5 linked regions of the Ovis aries genome follow. The protein of the gene in region 1 interacts with the protein of each later gene in a biochemical or structural test. Links are inferred from orthologs where the notes say so. Each region holds a gene or a part of one and is shown on either strand. Other genes may lie near its edges. The genes, in order: RARA, NCOA6, NRIP1, TRIM24 and TADA3.

The links.
Region 2: the proteins of RARA (region 1) and NCOA6 form a complex in vitro, tested with the Homo sapiens proteins (3 studies listed by BioGRID). The link is inferred for Ovis aries from reciprocal best matches to the Homo sapiens genes RARA and NCOA6.
Region 3: the proteins of RARA (region 1) and NRIP1 form a complex in vitro, tested with the Homo sapiens proteins (4 studies listed by BioGRID). The link is inferred for Ovis aries from reciprocal best matches to the Homo sapiens genes RARA and NRIP1.
Region 4: the proteins of RARA (region 1) and TRIM24 form a complex in vitro, tested with the Homo sapiens proteins (3 studies listed by BioGRID). The link is inferred for Ovis aries from reciprocal best matches to the Homo sapiens genes RARA and TRIM24.
Region 5: the proteins of RARA (region 1) and TADA3 form a complex in vitro, tested with the Homo sapiens proteins (2 studies listed by BioGRID). The link is inferred for Ovis aries from reciprocal best matches to the Homo sapiens genes RARA and TADA3.

Annotation. Positions count from the first base shown.
Region 1 is NC_056064.1:40,323,670-40,327,182, forward strand, and holds part of RARA (retinoic acid receptor alpha), read left to right. Parts: 5' UTR 1-30; coding exon 31-208; intron 209-3,513. UniProt on the Homo sapiens protein: Receptor for retinoic acid. Retinoic acid receptors bind as heterodimers to their target response elements in response to their ligands, all-trans or 9-cis retinoic acid, and regulate gene expression in various biological processes.
Region 2 is NC_056066.1:64,069,399-64,072,911, reverse strand, and holds part of NCOA6 (nuclear receptor coactivator 6), read left to right. Parts: intron 1-1,023; coding exon 1,024-3,513. UniProt on the Homo sapiens protein: Nuclear receptor coactivator that directly binds nuclear receptors and stimulates the transcriptional activities in a hormone-dependent fashion. Coactivates expression in an agonist- and AF2-dependent manner.
Region 3 is NC_056054.1:142,920,689-142,924,970, forward strand, and holds the start of NRIP1 (nuclear receptor-interacting protein 1), read left to right. Parts: upstream 1-1,470; 5' UTR 1,471-1,811; exon of another isoform or gene 1,812-2,153; intron 2,154-2,430; exon of another isoform or gene 2,431-2,697; intron 2,698-4,282. UniProt on the Homo sapiens protein: Modulates transcriptional activation by steroid receptors such as NR3C1, NR3C2 and ESR1. Also modulates transcriptional repression by nuclear hormone receptors.
Region 4 is NC_056057.1:103,605,849-103,610,131, forward strand, and holds the start of TRIM24 (transcription intermediary factor 1-alpha), read left to right. Parts: upstream 1-1,475; 5' UTR 1,476-1,764; coding exon 1,765-2,128; intron 2,129-4,283. UniProt on the Homo sapiens protein: Transcriptional coactivator that interacts with numerous nuclear receptors and coactivators and modulates the transcription of target genes.
Region 5 is NC_056072.1:16,898,770-16,902,282, forward strand, and holds part of TADA3 (transcriptional adapter 3), read left to right. Parts: coding exon 1-49; intron 50-175; coding exon 176-281; intron 282-1,661; coding exon 1,662-1,803; intron 1,804-1,894; coding exon 1,895-1,998; intron 1,999-2,034; exon of another isoform or gene 2,035-2,532; coding exon 2,533-2,607; exon of another isoform or gene 2,608-3,513. UniProt on the Homo sapiens protein: Functions as a component of the PCAF complex. The PCAF complex is capable of efficiently acetylating histones in a nucleosomal context. The PCAF complex could be considered as the human version of the yeast SAGA complex.

The sequences.
Region 1 (3,513 bases):
TGCCTGTGCTTCTGACTGTGGCCGCCTGGCATGGCCAGCAACAGCAGCTCCTGCCCAACACCTGGGGGAGGGCACCTCAATGGGTACCCGGTGCCCCCCTACGCCTTCTTCTTCCCCCCCATGCTGGGTGGACTCTCCCCCCCAGGCGCTCTGACCACTCTCCAGCACCAGCTTCCAGTGAGCGGCTATAGCACGCCATCCCCAGCCAGTAAGTGGGGTCGGGGAGTGTTGTGGGAGGGGGCTGTGGAGGGCGGCAGGCCCAAGGCTGGGCCTCTGGGCACATCTCTTCCTCAGCGGCCAGGTCTCCTCCAGACGGGGGGGACCTGCTGGACAAGCGGGCTTGAGGATGAAAGGCCAGTAGGCTAATCGCCGTGGTTGTGTTTTTTGTTGGGAGGTGGCACGGAGTGTGGAGAGCTGAGACAATGCTGTCCTCTGGCCCCTCGCGCCCCCTCATGTGCTCTGCCGTTGAGGGCCTTATAAATAGCTCCAAGCACTGGACAAGGAGGCTGGAGTTGGGTAAACAAACCTCTCGACATTTGGTGGGGATGGCTGGTCTGCTGAGAACAGCACCCCACCTCCAGCCCACCCCATCCAGTGCCTCTGAGAGAAGGGACTGGAGTAGCACCCCCTCCCCTCACTGCTGGCCAGGCGGGGTGGTGCTTCCCTTTGTGGGGAGGGCGCCGGGGCAGGAGAGGGCCCCACAGGCAGCCTGGGGATGGGGGGAGAGTCCGGGAGGGGACACAGGCCTGGACTCTGGCTGTGGCCGCAGGCCTGCTCTTGGCAGGGCCTGTGTTTTCTCTCCGCCTCCGCCGTCTGCCATGGGGGGTCGCCTGTTGGCTGGGTGGGGGTCTCGGTACCCTTCCCTGGCTGGCCGAGCCAGGTAGTGGGAGGTGGCGGCACTGAGGCCAGCTGGCAGAGTCCAGGCCTCGGTCCTGCCAGGCGGCTTACAGTAACTCTGGCCCCCAGGGCCCAGCTGGGCGCCAGGCCAGGGTTTGGGGGAGGAGGGAGCCGGGGCCTGGCCTGGGGCAGGAGGGGGTGGAAGCCGTAGAAGGGGGCCATGGACGGCGGACTGGCCTGGCCGGTCAGCTGTTGACCTGGGAAACGTGTCCCACCTCTCCTGGCAGGCAGGGACTGAACAGCCTGCCCTGGGCACCCACCGCCTCTCCCATGCCACTGGCAAGCTGCCTGGCACCGCTGCCCTGTGCGCCTGGCTGGGCTGGGTCAGTGCCCCCTTCCCAGCTTGGGGGTAGCGCACTCTCCCCGGAGCCAGGGAGTCTCTTTGTCCCTGGGGCAGGCCCTGGCTGGGCGCCTCACTGCCCGCACTGGCCGGCTGCCCACCGCCACCACTGCTTCCTGGCTCGCCTCCTCTGGCTTGCTCGGTGGCCCCCTCCCTCTCCAGCCCCACCAGCCGCTGAGAGCAGGGGCTCTAAGTCTGTGTTCCTTTCGGTCCCTACCCTCTGTGCCCCGGGGAAGGGGGCAGGCGGATGCTGCCTCCTCAAACCTCACCTTCTGTTTCCTCCCATGGAGGGGGCACAGCGGGCAGCATCATGACCTGGGAGTCAGAATGATTCTGGCCTGGTCTTCAGTCTGTGCTCGGTGATGGGAGAGGCCAATCTCTGAGTTAGGGGATGCTGGAGAAGGGGCAAGTGGGTCTGGGGTGCCTGGGATCTGTGTGGGAACTGGAGTTCACATCCCAGTTCCAGGAACTAGAGTGTCTTGCTTCCCGCCAGGGTGGGGTTTTTAGGGAGGGAGAAACCGAGAGCGCTCAGCCTGGTGCTGGTGGACAGCTTGCTCTTCCCCAGGTGATTGGGAACAGGGCCCTGGACGCTGTCCCCCTGGGGCCTGGCTCACGGAGGGCTGGCCTGACCCCTGTCTTGTGCCGGACAAGCGAGTGTTTTGCTCTCCTTTTCGAATGTTGCAAGCTTCTTCCTCTTTCTTCGAGGTGGGTGGGGAGGGTTTCCGGGTACCCCACCTCCTACCCTGGTAACCTTCTTCCCCCAGGGTGGGGTGCCCACATTTCTGGTTAAGCAATGCCCCTTCCTGCCCCCCTCCCTCTGTGAGCCAGTGGGTTTCCCTGCCTCTTCCTAGTAAACAACAACACCTCTTTTTACCCAGACCCCCAGCTTCTGAGCTTCTCCCTGACCTTCCTTCCCCTTAGGTCAGGAACCTCCCCATCCACCCTGAGGGAGCCAGGCATCTCCCTCTTTCTCGTGGAAGGCTGTGGGACCTGGTAACCCTGGCTTTCAGCTCTGCGTAGTGCAGCATGACAAATCAAAGTTCAGACCTGGAGGCAGCCTCACTCCCCCCACCTGAGGGCCAGTGCTGGGGGCCAGGCATTTCCCAGGAGGGTGGACAGCTGTGGCCCCCATCCCCACCAGGAGTGATTATATGTTCTGGTCCCCTGCCACCCATTCTGCAGGCAGCCTGGCACAGGAGGCCCCCTCCTCCCACTTGCCGCCAACAAAGGTGTTGTCCATCCTTCCATCCCTCTCGCCAAGCTGGGGTGGGGGGAGGCTGGACCCTGGGTGTGCTTCAGAGACTCAGTGGCCTGTGGAAGGACAGAACTGTTCTCTAGGTCAGTGGCGACGGGTGGGTATTTGTCCTGCTGTTATCTCTCTCTCCCGGGAAGCCAGAGTGGGAAGTTCCAGGGATGGTACGAGATCTCCCCCTCCAAACCAGTCCTGGAGGTTTGGTCTCTTGAGGACTGGTATTTACTGTGGAGGCTTGGGATTCTGTGTGCCTTGTGGGGAGGGTGATGGTTGTGTGTGTTTTGGGAGGGAGGTGAGGGTTGGGTGTGTTTTAGGGGTGGGGAGGTCAAGGTTGGGTGTGTGCTGGGGAGGGGGTCAATGGCTTAAAAGTATTGGGTGAGAGGGTCAGAGTGTGTTTGAGGAGAATCAGATCCAGAGTCGGGAGGGGTATCAATGTGTTTGTGTGCTGCAGGGGGAGGTGACTTAGGGCACTGAATGTGTAAGGGGGAGGGGTCTGTGATTGTGTTGTGTGTTTGGAGGGGGAAGGGTCTCTATTTCTTATCGCTAGTCTAGGCTGGAGAGGAAACGCACCTGCCTTTTTTTATTGCTTGCCCTGGGAATTCCATGAGGTAGGAGGGGTTGCTGTGGAGTAGGCTGTGTAGCTTGAGTTCTGGCTTTGCCATTTACTAAGTGTGACAACCTCTCCGAGCGTGTTTCCTCGTCTGTAAAACAGGGATCTAAGCAGAACCTCCCTCAGACGGCTGAGGTTAGGCAAGATCGCCGACGTAATGCACTCTGCTCCTGGTCTTGCATGCGCTCATGGCTGTCTCGTGGTACCCGGGTGTTATGACGGGAAGAGGATCGTGACCCTTTTCTGGGTGGGAGCTGGAGAGAATGGGATGCTAACATCTGTGGAGCGCCCACTGTGTGCCTGGGACCTTATCTCTGTTTTACAAATCTGAATCCCGACAATCTGGGAGAGGGACATTATCTCCCTTTACACCTGAGGAAACAGCGCTGGTGGTTACGTGGCTGAGCTGAGTGA
Region 2 (3,513 bases), on another chromosome or scaffold:
CCATTGAACCACCTTTATTCTTGGTCCTTTCTGCTGATTATGTAAGGTTTTGGTTCTAAAATGCAAATAAAATCTTCACAAAAGAAGGAATCATTTGAGATGTCGCCTTCTAGGAATCTATAAGGCATTGTCCTCAGACTTCTTTTCCCAAAGTTATTTTTTATTCCTGAGGGCTATGCTTCTTGGCTCACTTATTCTCCACTTATGGATTCAAAGACAGTATTTCTCCAAATACAGTTTGACATGTAAAAAAGTAAATGGAAATTAGCATTTGTAAAAAGAACTTCAGTGCCCTCATTTTATTTTCAGTGTGTGTATCAGCTTCTATTTAGCTCCTACTATTTATTAAACTGACTTACGTTGGAGAGACAGTTTAATTCACTGGGTTTCCCAAAGAAGCGAGCCTGGAGGGTGCAGCATGGTGTGTGAAGTCAATGGATTGAAGTGATTTTAAATCCTTCTTTCTTAAGGAATTGAACCCTAGAACTTTATATTTTACTTCTGTTGAAGGAATAAAAAGGCTATCTTCAATGCTGGTATTTTCAACAAAACCAAGTCTTTAAAAAAATTAATCTGTGCTAAAAGAAAAAAAGTGAATCTTAAATGCTTCATTCACAAATCCAGTGAAATGTTCATTATGCCTGCATGAGAGCCCAGTACTGGGTGGTCATCCGTGTGCTGTTGATGGAGTTGTCCTCATTTCATCTGAATGTGAGGCTGGCATAGACTTGGCCAGTTTCAGTGCATAGCGCAGTGCCTGTTAGAGTCTTAGTACAGTGATGCCTCATGCAAACCCTGAAGACTGAGGAGCTCCAGGTTCTCGATGCTTTGCTTTTTGCTTCCTGAAGCAGCGTGCCTCTTTGCTTATGCCAGAGAAGGAAGGGCCGCCCCTTACCCCCCTGGAAACGGGCATGCCTGAGCTATTTGTGCCACCTAGATGAGGATTGCTTGGCCATACCCTAAAGGTCACAAAGCTTTTCTTGCTGAAAGTCTAACTTCCCTGATTTTGGGGGCTCGTTTTAGGTTATCCTTCTCAACCAGTTGAACAGAGGCCACTTCAGCAGCTGCCTCCTCAGCTCGTGCAGCATGTGGCACCCCCAGCACAGCCGCCACCGCAGCAGCCGCAGCCACCTCCCAGCCAGCCGCAGTCTCAGCAGCAGCAGCAGCAGCAGCAGCAGCAGCAGATGATGATGATGCTCATGCTGCAGCAGGACCCCAAGCCCGCCAGGCTTCCGGTCCCCCAGAGTGCCCACCCCCCCAGGGGCCCGCTGACCCCGGACGCCCAGAGAGTGCCCGCGCAGCCGAGCGGCGGCGTGCCTGTCATGGTCAGCCTGCAAGGCCCTGCCTCAGTGCCCCCGTCACCTGACAAGCAGAGAATGCCAATGCCTGTGACTACTCCTCTGGGAAGCACTTCAAGGAAAATGATGTACCAGGAGAACCCCCAGAACCCTGCCAGCTCACCACTGGGGGAGATGTCCTCGCTCCCAGAAGCAAGTGGCAGTGAAGGACCGTCCGTCTCAGGAGGCCCAAATAATATGCCTCCACATTTAGTGGTCTCCCAGAATCAGTTAATGATGACAGGGCCAAAACCTGGACCATCACCGCTTTCAGCAACTCAAGGTGCAACTCCCCAGCAACCTCCTGTAAATTCCCTGCCCAGCTCTCATGGCCACCACTTTCCAAATGTGGCTGCTCCCACCCAAACATCTAGGCCTAAAACACCCAACAGAGCCAGCCCCAGACCCTATTATCCCCAGACACCCAACAACCGCCCTCCTAGCACGGAACCTTCAGAAATCAGTCTATCACCGGAAAGACTCAATGCCTCCATAGCAGGACTCTTCCCCCCACAGATTAATATTCCTTTACCTCCCAGGCCAAATTTAAACAGGGGCTTTGATCAACAGGGCCTAAATCCGACAACTTTGAAGGCCATCGGGCAAGCACCTTCAAACCTTACCATGAATAATCCTTCCAATTTTGCTGCCCCACAGACTCACAAATTAGATTCTGTGGTGGTGAATTCTGGAAAGCAGTCTAATTCTGGAGCACCAAAACGGGCAAGTCCAAGCAACAGCCGCAGGTCTAGTCCTGGGTCAAGTAGGAAAACCACCCCAAGTCCTGGGAGACAGAATTCGAAAGCCCCTAAACTTACACTTGCCTCTCAAACAAATGCAACGTTGTTGCAAAATGTAGAGCTGCCAAGAAATGTATTGGTTAGTCCTACTCCTTTGGCCAATCCGCCTGTACCTGGGAGCTTCCCTAACAACAGTGGGCTGAATCCTCAGAATCCTACCATGCCTGTGGCCACGATAGGGGGTGTTCTGGAGGATAACAAGGAGAGCTTGAATATGCCACAGGACAGTGATTGCCAGAATTCCCAGGTTAGGAAGGAGCAGATAAACATTGAGCTAAAAGCAGTCCCTCCCCAAGAAGTGAAAATGGTTGTCCCTGAAGATCAATGCAAAAAGGATGGGCAGCCTTTGGATCCTAACAAACCTCCCAATGTCGAAGAGAACAAAAATTTGGTGTCTCCTGCTATGAGGGAAGCACCAACATCGCTAAGTCAACTTCTTGACAACTCTGGAGCTCCTAACGTGACTATTAAACCCCCCGGGCTTACAGATCTGGAAGTAACACCTCCAGGAGTGTCTGGAGAGGACCCAAAAAAAGCATCTGTCATTCCCTCCCTGCAGGATCCGTCTTCTAAAGAACCCTCCAGTTCCCTAAATTTACCTCACAGTAACGAGCCGTGTTCAACCCTTGTGCATCCAGAATTGAGTGAGGTCAGTTCTAATGTCACCCCAAGCATCCCTCAAGTAATGTCAAGACCTGTCAGCTCTTCCTCCATTTCCACTCCTTTGCCCCCAAATCAGATAACTGTTTTCGTGACTTCCAATCCCATTACAACTTCAGCGAACACATCAGCAGCTCTGCCAACTCACCTGCAGTCTGCATTAATGTCAACAGTTGTCACAATGCCCAATGTGGGTAACAAGGTTATGGTTTCTGAGGGACAGTCAGCTGCTCAGTCAAATGCCCGGCCTCAGTTCATTACGCCTGTCTTTATCAATTCATCCTCAATAATTCAGGTTATGAAAGGATCACAGCCAAGCACAATTCCTGCAGCCCCGCTGACAACCAACTCTGGCTTGATGCCTCCCTCTGTTGCAGTCGTTGGCCCTTTACACATACCTCAGAATATAAAATTTTCTTCTGCTCCTGTGCTGCCTAATGCCCCCACCAGTAGTCCTGCTCCAAACATACAGACAGGTCGACCCTTGGTCCTTAACTCAAGAGCCACCCCTGTTCAGCTTCCTTCCCCGCCTTGTACAACTTCTCCAGTTGTTCCTCCTCACCCCCCTGTCCAGCAAGTAAAAGAACTGAATCCAGATGAGACTAGCCCTCAGGTGAGCACCTCAGCAGATCAAAGCACTCTGCCCTCTTCACAGACAACCACAGTGGTTTCTCCCCTTTTGACCAATAGTCCAGGCTCCTCTGTCAACCGGCGAA
Region 3 (4,282 bases), on another chromosome or scaffold:
CATGGCACTATTTTGTTTTACTTTAGACTGAATGGTGACAAATGAGGCTATCTGGAATCTCAGTCTGCACCAGACTAGCAGTTGCCAATCAGAAGAGGAGGATAATGTTAGAGACAGGAACCCTGGCAAAAGAGAGAAAAGATTGTTAGTTAGGGAAGGGGGAGAGAGAGCAACTATGAAAGACAGAGATGATCACTGGATCATAGTATCCTGGAGTCCTTCAGGGAGAGGACTGATGGCTTCTATTCATCCTGGGAGCATCCCTGACTCCTAGGAAGGAGCTTGATAGAGAACAGGAAATTGATGTAGTCCTTAAATTCATTATAACCTACTATCAAAATTAACTCTGAATTTTCAAGAAAAAGCCAAAAAATGGCTTAAGAAAATAGAAACATTTATAATACGTTTTCAGAAAATCTTTGTACAACAGTTTTAAAGAAAATTAGTTTGATTCCTTAAAGGGTCACACTCCAATAATGCTGCCTATCACTTAATTCAAACAGTTGGCTCTGAATCAATCCTGGATAAATGTTGTCATGCAGAACAGTGGACTTTACTAAGCTGCCTTGAACAGATTTCAAATGGTGGTAGATACAAATAATAAGCTCTCATATGAGGTTTAAATATATAAGATGGCAACAGATCGCACAGTTGAAATCACTAGGGTGATGTAAAATAATTGTTCTAAAATGCACTATCACCATGAAGAAAAATCTTCCTGCCATGTGCCCAGCACTGTGCTAGGTGCTGTATTATTAAGCATTCTTCTGAAATATCGCTTTCCCTTTTAAGACTGTGAAGGTGTTCCCGAATCCTCATTCATATTTTTAAAGGTTAAATGACATTTTACACGCACAACACAACCATTACATAACAGGCATAGAATACTGTTCTATGACTTGGATAGTTTTGTGTTTTTTTTTTAAGTGCACTAGCAACTTTATTTTAAAATGCTGTCGAATCCTTAAGGATCTGAAAACCTACACATAGGAATGGAGTGTCTTATCCACTCACTTGTTTTGTGTAATAAGTGTTTAAACACAGGCATGCCATTTCGGAGTTTACAGTGAGCCTAAGCTGTACTTCAGCGTTTTTGCAGCAAGCAAAAACAATTTCTGCAACGGTCCTCATTTCCCCTGGCAATTTTTTTTTTTTTCTTTTTCTTTTTCATGGCGAGTTACTAAATGCTAGATGCTAGAGTCAAAAAGAAACCTGACATCTGGGGAGGTGTTGCGGGGGTGTTAATAGTTCTAGCTTGATGTTTGGGGAGAGCCTTGAGGATAAGATTTTAAAACAGCAAATACACGGAGAAGGGGGAAATGATGGTTTCGGATGACTCTCTCCTCCCTCCACTTTCTCTCTTCACCAATCCGTATCCCCCCCAATTTAGAGGCGGGTTCAGGGAGATCAGGCTGCAGGAAACCAGGAGGCTCTCCGGGGCTGCCGCCCCGGCCTCGTGATGTAATTGTTATTTCTTACTCGGAGCCTGAACCGGCGGAGAGCTGCCCGAGAAGTGGCAGCTGGGTGCCTTCTGCCTTGTCTTGGAGGGTCAGGTTCGGTCCGAGGACGGTGTCGATTCGAGGAACGGCTCCGCTGGAGACTTCGCAGTGACAAAGCAGCAGAAGATAAACCCTGCTCCCGTCCGAGGAGCTGAACCCGGCGCTCCTCAGGTCTCCTTCCCAGTTTTCTTCTCGGACTCACCCGCCGATTATCCCTGGGTGCCTTCTACGTGCAGGGCGCGGGATCAGAGGGACCCGCAGTTAGCCCCCCCCACCCCCGGCCAGACTAAAGCAAGACACACAGATTACAAGGTGGTGGAAGTTGGGGGGGGTGGGCGAGAGGGAGCCCAGGAGACACGGGTCGTGGGGTGAAGTGGGAGGAGAAGGAAGCCTAAGATGCCGGCACCCAGGAAGGGACCCGGGGCGTCCCGACCCCCAGGCTGAGCCCCCTTCGCGGGCTTTTGGCCTGGGTCACGAGAGTGGTCCCCACCCCCCCGGGAGCCCCAGGAGGAGCTGTCCCGGCGCCTTCGGCGGCGGTGGGGGCTGCTGGACAGAGCTGGGAGCCGCGGGGAAGGGCTCGGGGCGCCTGGAGCACCCACCTCTCCCGGCCGCCGCGCTCTTCCAGCTGCCTCGGGGCGCCCGCAGCCCCCGCCCGGCCGGCCGGAGGGCGGGCGAGGAGGAAAACCAGCCAACCGAGGGGGCCCCGCAGTTCCCGCGAGCCTCCGGGACCCGAGCGCGTGCCTGCCGCCCCGGTGACAATGGAAGAGAGGGGGAAAAAAGGGTTAAGAAACTTGGCTGAAGAGCTGAATGGCGTGGAGCGGCGAGGGGAGGGACTGGGCCGCGGCCGCCTCGGCGGCGGAGGGAGGAGCGCGGCTGCGGGCGGGCGGGCGGGCAGGCAGGCGGCGAGCGAGGCGCTCAAAGTCAGCCTCGCAGACATTGCAGCAGAGCCCCGAACTCGGGAGGCGGCGGCGGCGGCGGAGGAGGAGGCGGCGCGGCGGCGGCGGCCGAGGCGGAGGGACGACCCGGCCCCGCGCTCGCCCGCGCGCCCGCCCGTGGCCTCGCGGCGGCCGCTGCGCCCGGCAGCGCTGCCGATCGCAGGGAAGAGCTCGCCGGGGCGCCGAGGGAGGACGGGGCGGCGGGGCGCCTTCGCGGAGTGAGCTGGCCGGAGCCCCGGCGCTCGGAGCTGCGGCGGCCTCGGGTGAGTGGCGGCCGCGGCCGGGGGGCTCGGACGAGCGGCCGCCGCCGCCGGAAATGGCCGGGAGCGCGGCCCGCGGCGGCGTTGGCTTGGCGTTGGCGGGCAGGGCCTCGGGGGGCGTCGGGGCGGCGGGGGGCCCGCGCTGCGGGGCGGCGGGAGCGGACGCGGACGGCGGGGTGAGCTCGGCGGAGGGGGACGGCTTCCGGGCAAATCCCGCCTCTCCTGCCGGCTCCGAACCTGCCCGGGAACTCGGGGGGCCCGGGCAGCGGGGCCGGCAAGTTGTGGAGTTGGCCCGGGGGCTCACCGGCGCGTTCTTGGCCGTCCTGGGCCGGGGACGGGAGGGCGGCCGCCGTGTTGCCCCGGACCCGGGCCGGGGTCGCGCCCCCGCTCGGCTGTCCTCCTCGGCCCGGAGCCCCGGGCGCTTCTCGTCGCGCCGTTCTCAGTCCTGCTGCCCCGGGCGTCCTGGGCGGCGCCGGGCGCAGCTCCCCCCGCCTCTCGCCCGGGTGCCTCCCTGCTCTGAGCTGGCCGGATCCCGGACTGGGGAAAGTGGGTAGGCAAGGGGACCGCGCTCCCGGCCCCTAGCCGACCCTCGGGTCCAGCCAGGCCCGTTGGTACGTGTCCTTCCCCTCCCGAGGGCGAGGCCCCTGGGACCCGAGGCCTCAACCATCACTTTTCTCCGGAGCCAGAAAACCGGGCTCACCTCTAGAGTGAACCCCGTGCAGGTCCTGGGAGGCTTCGTTTTTCTCTCCTACATCTATGTGTCCTCTTCTACTACTAGCGGATATTGTCTTATGAAGGGTTTCCCGGGAAATATTCTGCAAACCGTCACAACCCTTCCAAAGTAGTTTTCCAAATTTTAATCAAGAGTTGCTGTTCCGTCTGGAGGAACAAAGGAATCAACTATGTCTTAGAGGCGAACAGTCTGCGAGTCTGTGACACATGTTGATCTCTGAAGTATTATAGGAGTTTTTACCTTCTATCTCGTTATTGAATTGAGTTTTGAAGATAGTAGACGGACAACAGAAGTACTTTTGTGTTTAAAAAAAAAATTTCAATAAGGCGTTTTTATGTTGAAAAAGAAGTAATACGTTCTTAGCCACAGGGACTTTTCACTCAGTTGGTGGAACTGAGTTGGAGTTTGTCTCCGGTAATATAAATGATTAAATGTGAAATTGTGCGGGGCGGGGGAGGGGTTGGGGAGGGGGTACTGTTCTTAGAGGAACAGAGTCCATAGGATGAAAGTGAAAAATGGTTGTGGAGTTACAGATGATGGTTGTTTTTTACGTTTGGTGAGGGAGTGATTTGTGAAGCAGAGGGCTCTGGTAATTCATTCTTTAAAGTTATGAATTGCATTGAACCTGCTTATTAGAGAATCATGACTTTAGCAAGTGGGTGGCATCTTCCCGATGTGATTCTTCAATGCTTAATCACTAGTTTGCCACCTTTGTTGTTGAAGACACAGTGAGATAAGTGGACTTTTTAAACAAATGGTGCTTCCTCTGCCTGGCACCAAAGTGTGGGTTGCTGCCTGGAGTATGTTGAAATGTTTTCAGCTTTGAAGTAAGTTGCTCTGGTTTTGCCCAGCGTT
Region 4 (4,283 bases), on another chromosome or scaffold:
ACCGAGAGGACCACGCCGACCAAGTACCACATGATACGCCGTGGCCACTGGCTTCCTCCATCTATTGGAGCCTCAGGCTTCCCTTCCTGCTAGGTATCCTGCCCACTATGCCAACTGTTTCGCTGATCACTGAATCCAGGGTAGGCAAGGTGCGAGCAACAAAGCTGGAAGAAAATGCGAGAAGCCATAGGAACTGCAGACATGCTTTATTTGCAGCGGCTGACGCAGCAGCAAGGGATGTTTCAGGTGGGCTTAATATTGGTATACAGAAATAAAGGTGGCAATTTGACAAGCTATTGCATCACAATGCACGTGTGCATTGTTATAGATTATCTCAGTTGTTACATAACCATGCAAAGTTGTTTTTCACACAAAGTAGGGCAAGAGAGCCTGACTACCACCATCTTGGCTACTTACTATTTCTCTAACACAACAGGATCATTTCCATTTTAACAAAGCCTATTCTGACCCCATCCTACTCTCTGCAAAGATGCAGCATCACTTCATGTATTCTTTAAAATGGCACTTCCACAATCATATGTGTACAGAGGCTCGTTTCCCCTACCCTATTTCTATACTTTTGTAAAGCTTGGCCATTTTTAAAGTGAAAATATTGTAACTTCTGATCAAAGTTTGTTTGCGGAGGGGTGGTGAGGGTTTGGAGAAATGAAAAAGAATATTTTAGAATTATTTGGATATCAGTATTGACATTTATTTCCATTTCTTGTAATGATGCCATATTTATGCAATAAAACACTCAGTCTTCGTTAATCCCTTGAAGAACAAATCAGTTTTATTCACCTAAAAAGCAAATCACTTTTATTTAAAAATTAATTTCACCTTTTTCACGAGGAAAACCTTTAAAATTTTCGGACTTTCATAAGAACCTCCCCTCTTATCACAGAGATTAGTAAATCCAGGTGGCAAAATCCATGCTACTTCCACAACATTTTCCCTTTTTGAAAAATTCTTCCCTTTGCTCCCTCACTCGACTTCGTTATTCTGAGACCCTCCCCTCCATATTTACTCCTCCTACAGGACCTCGGTCCGCAGTAGTAAATAGAGAGTTTTTCGAAGCAGTTAATTAACAGCTTTGGATAAACACTGTGAAGCCCCTCCCCATAGGAGGAGCTAGCACAGTTGGACCGAATTATGTGGTCGATCGTTAACAAATAAACGCTTAATCTTTCTACGGGAGCGAAACACACACAAAGGACCAATCAGAGGCCGTGGTTCCCGGAGCTCGAGGGGCGGGGCTGAGCAAGCGCCCTCCCACCTCCCAGCCTCCAGCCGCGGCTGTCTGAGCCTCGCGGGCTTCGGCAGGCCCCGCCCGCCGACCAGACGCGACTCGATAGGAGGGCTCTCTCCCTGCCTTCGCTTCGGTTGCTGGGAGAGGGAGGGCGGCGGCGGGGGCGTGGCCTGAGGTGGGGCTCGCGGGCCCCAGAGAAAGGCAGGGAGGCGAGGGCGGGCTCGGCGGGTTTGACGAGCGCCGCGGCGGTTGGCGAAGCGAACCGGGCGCAGCCTCCCCGATGCGAAGAGCAGTCCCCGCTGACAGATCCTCTTCTTCCGGCCGCGCCACCCGGGAGGCGGATCCCCGGGGCCTGAGGAGGCTTCCTCGGCCCGAGCCTCCGTCCCTCCCTCTCCTGCGGGTCACCGGAGCGGCCTAGGAGGAGGAGGAGAAGGAGGTCTGTCGCGGGCGGCGGCGGGCAGAGAACGCGCTCCCCCTTCCCCGGCGGCGGCGGCGGCGGCGGCGGGGGCAGGACAATGGAGGTGGCTGTGGAGAAGGCGGCGACGGCGGCCGCGGCCGCTTCGGCGGCGGCCGCCGGGGGGCCCTCGGCGGCGCCGAGCGGGGAGAACGAGGCCGAGAGTCGCCAGGGCCCTGACTCGGAGCGCGGAGGCGAGGCGGCCCGGGTCAACCTGTTGGACACTTGCGCCGTGTGCCACCAGAACATCCAGAGCCGGGCGCCCAAGCTGCTGCCTTGCCTGCACTCCTTCTGCCAGCGCTGCCTGCCCGCGCCCCAGCGCTACCTCATGCTGCCCGCGCCCATGCTGGGCTCCGCCGAAACCCCGCCGCCCGTCCCCGCCCCCGGCTCGCCGGTCAGCGGCTCCTCGCCGTTCGCTACCCAAGGTGAGTGGCGGGAGGGTGGGGTGGGGTGAGGAGGCCGGCGCCCCGGGGCGGCGCGGCGACCCGCTGTCACGTCGCCGCCGCCCGGGGTGCTCGGCGGGGGAGGGGCGAGGAGGGTCTGTGCTGGCTGCGGTGACATGCAGGGCTCGCGCGCTCTGCGGCGTCCGCGCGCCCCGCGAGCAACTTCCCCCGGCGCTGTGGACTTGGCCGAGCTGCCGCTCCCACCCCCCCCCCCCCCCCCCCCCCCCCCCCCCCCCCCCCCCCCCCCCCCCCCCCCCCCCCCCCCCCCACCCCCTCCCCACCCCCTCCCCACCCCCCAGCCTCCTCCTCCGGGCTGCGTGGCCCGTGCAACCCGTACTTCTGAAAACCTCTGTTGGAGTGCGCTGTTGTCTATCTCCAGCCCTTTGCCGGCTGCATCTAGTTAACCGCTACCCTCTGCCTCCCCGCAGCTTTGTCCAGGTGATACTAATCATCTCGCCTGTACCCACGTTATTTGAGCTGGCGAGGGGAAGGGAGGGATGAAGATGAGGTGGTGGGGACTTTTCTTTGGTTACATATCGGATTCTGTTTTTTGTTTTGTCTTGCATGTTTTGGGTTATTTACCTTAATGAGCCATCAGTTCTCTCCAATGGGGACAAAGGAACTAAGAGACGGTGTTTCGTGGTGCTTCTTTTTGGGAGATTTTGTTTCTAGACGGTAAATGGTAAAGACAAATAGGAAAAAGTGATTTGGAGTGCAGCATTTTCTTGGGTTTTGTGGACAGCAGCTGGAAATGTTGAAGTTACTGTTGTCTTTGTGGTGTTTGTTACCGTATAATGAGACTTTTGACAGGTAGGTCCCATTGCTAATGTTAACAGGTTTTGAAACACAAAGTTGAAGTAAGCACAGTAAATTGCTTGTGGTAGAATAATTGAGGTTTTAAACGTTTACGTGGCGAATATTTGAGCAACTCTCTTTAAAAAAAAGACTAACCGGAAATAATTCGGTTTTACATATACTGCCTTTTTAAAAGGGACTAGTGGATGTAGGTAGAGAAAAATTGGTAATTAAATAATTGAGCGAGGTCAAAGAACACATGAAATCGATGCTTTTAAATAGGTTGCCGTGTTAGACTCTTGATTTATTTATATGTTAGAAACAGTGTCTAGTTGAGAGACAGTTTTCCATGGATCTGGCTGTTTCTGCAGAGCTTGCCAGGGGAGGTACTGACTGCCTGCCCTTTGTTTCTGTTTTTAAAGGATGTTTGTAGAAGGAAAAGCCTTGGATGGTAGAGACAGTGTCTACCATCAGAGCAAAGAGGAACCATGCATATGGTACAATGGTAACAGATCAGTGTCTCCTGGGGTAGAAGGCAGGCATGCTTATTGCCCATCATAAAAGATTAGGGTTCCCTAAACTTGGGCTTCCTCTCCTGCAACACAGCCCATTGCTTGCGTTGCTTAAGCATGTGTCAACTGACCCTCTTCACCTTGCCAGGTGAGAACCTGGGGCTCTGGGAACCAGTGCGCTAAAGTGTTGATGCTTTGGCTTATGTTATTACTGGAAGTAATAATAAATTGCCCTTTGTCTCCGATTCACCAGTCTCATGCCTTCTCCCAGCTTCCATGGTAAGCTAATACTTTGTTAGTTTGCAAGTAGGGTAGAAATCTCAGATCCTTCACCCTAATTTGCTCTTGACATGGCCCACCTGTTGGAAAGTTAGTACAGGTGAAACTTAAATTTTCGTTCTTAATTTTTAGACACATTTAAGGGTTTCTTTTATTTATATTTTAAATGTTTAAAACAACCAGAAGCCAATTAGGATCTGAATTCTGCATAATTCTAGAATTAAAGATGTATTGTGTTCCAGGGCATGACATTTAGATCTGAATGAATGAGAACATGAGTAATAAAAGCTCTGATCCTCAATTCTGAGGCAAGTTTGCAATTATAAAGTTCTCAAACTGTTGCAGTCTCCAGATATGTTTTATCTTTGTTTGTATTGTAAGCCAGAGTTCAGGAAAGCTTTTAAATTGTAAGGTAATGTTTTCGTTTTTTTTATACTGAGGAAGGTGTCTTACCAACGATACTTCCACATATATCTCTAAAAGTTAGGATTATCTTCAATAAATTAAAAATACTATGTTGAGTCTTAATATCTTGAATATTTTCTCCCTTC
Region 5 (3,513 bases), on another chromosome or scaffold:
ACGACCCAATTGATGTGCCACGTATCCCCAAGAATGACGCCCCCAACAGGTTCTGGGCCCGGGAACATAGATGGGCCTTGGGATTTGGGCACTGGAGGCTGTGGAGAGGCCTGGGGCTGAGGCTGGTGGGGCAGGGGGCAGGGGGCACCCCCTCAGGCTCTGCTTCTCCCTGCAGATTCTGGGCTTCGGTGGAGCCATACTGTGCTGATATCACCAGTGAGGAAGTGCGCACACTAGAGGAGCTACTGAAACCCCCAGAAGATGAGGCTGAACATTACAAGGTGAAGACCCCAGGCATGATGAGACAAGATGGAAACATCTTGGACATGATGGAGAACAAGAGGGCTCAGAGATGCCTCACAATTAACAGAGCTATATATCATCTTCCTTTTTCTCTCTCCCCAGCCTCCTGACAGTTCCATTAACTCACTTAGACGCCCAGGTTCTAGCTTTCAGCTTCCTCCCTTCTACCCTGCCACATCCTAAGGCATCTTCTTCAGTGCAGTCCTCCCTTTGTCTCTGTCATCCCCTTTGCTTTGGCTCAAAAATTCATCAGCTTTTCCCTTTACAGCCTCTTAACACTTGCTTGCCTCTAGAGGGATTCTCTTCTCTGCTTTTTTAATTGGATGCACCAGGTAGCATGTGGGATCTTAGTTCCCTGACCAGGGATCAATCCTGCACCCCTTGCAGTAGAAGTGAGCAGTCTTCACCACTGAACCGCCATGGAAGTTCCTCTCTCTCTTTTTTTTGTAATGTATAGAAGTTTTTTTATTTTTAGTTTTTATGATGAAAATAAAAGAGGTTCCGTTAAAGAAAATGTACAAAATACAGAAAAATGTTGGAGGGGAATTCTCCCATAGGTTCGCTATCATGATCAGAGGTGCTTATAACAGCCTTGTGTGGCTCCCATTGCCCACAGACTCAGGTCCAAGCTTCAGTCCTTGGTAGCACAGTGTCCTTGGCCACACCACCTCTTTACTGCTATTATTTGCCAGCCCCACCAAGCACCTTACCCTCACTCCAAGCTCACACAAGGTCCTTTCTGGTCTCTGGGCCTCTGTACATGCCAATCTCCCCTTGGCAAACTAACACCCTTCGAGTCCCTTACTGCACGTTACCTGCACCAAAATGGTTTTGCAGGTTTTCCAGCAGAAGGTTGGTCTGTCTGTTGCACTGCCACAACACCTTAACCTACTCTGTCACTCCACTTGTCTGAGTTTTTAAAAAACTTATTTGAAAAGGTAATCTATATGGGCAGTCACAAGTTCAAGCAGTGCATAAGCTATTTCTCTCATTTCTGACCTGAAGGCCTGTAGTTCTTTCGAGAGATAATAGCTCTCAACTGATATTGTCTGTGTACACACACCATTCTGCACGTTACATCATGGAAATTTTCCTGTATTGCCTTCTGTGTGTTTTAGTTGTTTATGTACCTGGCTTCTCTACTAAACTGTGAGTGTAGAGATTTTTCTCTCCTGTATCTCTTCTCACCTGAGCCTCAGGCCTCAACCCTGGACTAGATACTTGGGAGACATAAATGAAGGAAGGAGGGTGAGCGAAGAGCCTGTTGGCACTTCCAAGTGCACAAAGAGACCCTGCCACACCCCAGGCATTGCTGGCTGTATTTATCTCTTTGGGGCTGGGTGGGATGTCTCCCACAGATCCCGCCCCTAGGGAAGCACTACTCCCAGCGCTGGGCACAGGAGGACCTGCTGGAGGAGCAGAAGGACGGGGCCCGGGCAGCAGCTGTGGCTGACAAGAAGAAAGGCCTCTTGGGGCCCCTGACCGAACTGGACACTAAAGGTAAGTCCCTCACCTCCCTGCCCACCCCAGGCTAGGACTTGAGTTCCCAGAACTTCAGCCCACGAGTCTACCATGTGTCTGCCCAATTCAGATGTGGATGCCCTGCTGAAGAAGTCTGAGGCCCAGCATGAGCAGCCAGAAGACGGGTGTCCCTTTGGTGCCCTGACACAGCGTCTGCTGCAGGCCTTGGTGGAGGTGAGTACCCCCAATGCAAAACAGAAACCACTATCATTCTGTTTCAATGTTTGTTTATTGAAGTATATATTTAGAAAGGTACATAGGTCATAAATGTACAGCTTGATCGATTTTCACAAATGAGCAGCCTTGTACAACTAGTCCCAAGATCACAAAATAAAACATCATCAGTATCCTTGAAGGCCCTCTCATGCCCCTCCCAGTGTTTAACCTCCCCCACCTCCAGGGTAGCCACTATTCCACAGTTACTTTTGTGGAGCATTAGTGAAAGGCCCTGTGCAAAGGGCTTTCTACACATCCTCTTGTTAAAGGCAGATAGTGGTTAACCCCACATTACACCAAACAAGGTTGAGGCTCAAAAAAGGGAACTGTTTGCTTGACATCACACAGCTAACAAGCGGAAGCAGGCTTCAAACACCAGGTTCAGGTGCCCTTTCTTTATGCCCACTGGCTATCCCAAGCCATGTTTCTTCACCTATGAGCCTCAGTTTTCCCTCTGGCTCAAACACAATAGCCTCTTTCTCTCCCATGTAGCATTCTGGGCACATGTTCCAGATCAGTGGAGGCTGGGGGAGATCTCTGTTCCACACCATCAGACAGGGACCCCAGGTTTGCTGGCTTTTTAATTGTTTAAAAAAATGTATATATGTATTTTTGGCTGTGCTGGGTCTTCGTTACTGCTTAGGTTTTTCTCTAGTTGTGGCGATCAGGGGCTACTCTCTAGTTGGGGTGCTTGGGCTTGTAATTGCAGTGGCTTCTTTTGTTGTGGAGCAGGGGCTCTGGGGCGCACAGGCTCAGTAGTTGCAGCTCCCGGGCTCTAGAGCATAGGCTCAGTAGTTGTGGTGCCCAGGCTTAGTTGCTCTGCGGCATGTGGGATCTTCCTGGTTCAGGAATCAAACCTGTGTCTCCTGCATTCCACTGAGCCACCAGGGAAGCCCACTTTGCTGTTGTAAACATGCGCTCTGCACAGGATCACTCCAAATGTGACTGGCACTCCAGCCCACAGAAAAAGAGCAAGGAGGAGTGTGTGAAGATCCCGCTGGCTATGGCTCTTATCTCTTCTAATCACTTTCCATTGGAGAGTATTTGTCACATGACCACCCCGACTACAGGGGAGGCTGGGAAGTGGGGTTCATCTGGGCAGCCATTAGCCCAGCTCCTGTGGAGGAAAGGCGAGAATGGCTTTCGGACAGCCAGCAACCTCTGCTATGGTACAGCCCCTGTGCTCAGTACCGTGTGCCTAGCACAGCCCCTGGTGCACTGCAAATGCTTAACGAGCCCTAGTTCTTCTCATTACTGCTATTGAATGTTACCATCACTCTTCTGTGCTCCCTTTTGTATCAGTACAAAAACAAGAATTTATAAAATGATCAAAGCTTTTTGGAGCCAGTTTGGGAAAACTTCCCAGAGTGGGTGGAATGCGAAGAAGAAAAGATTTCTGGTATGTGAAGACTGTCCATGTAGGTCAGAGGGAAGCAGGAAATGGTAATACTACATCTCTTTCTTCCTCTGACC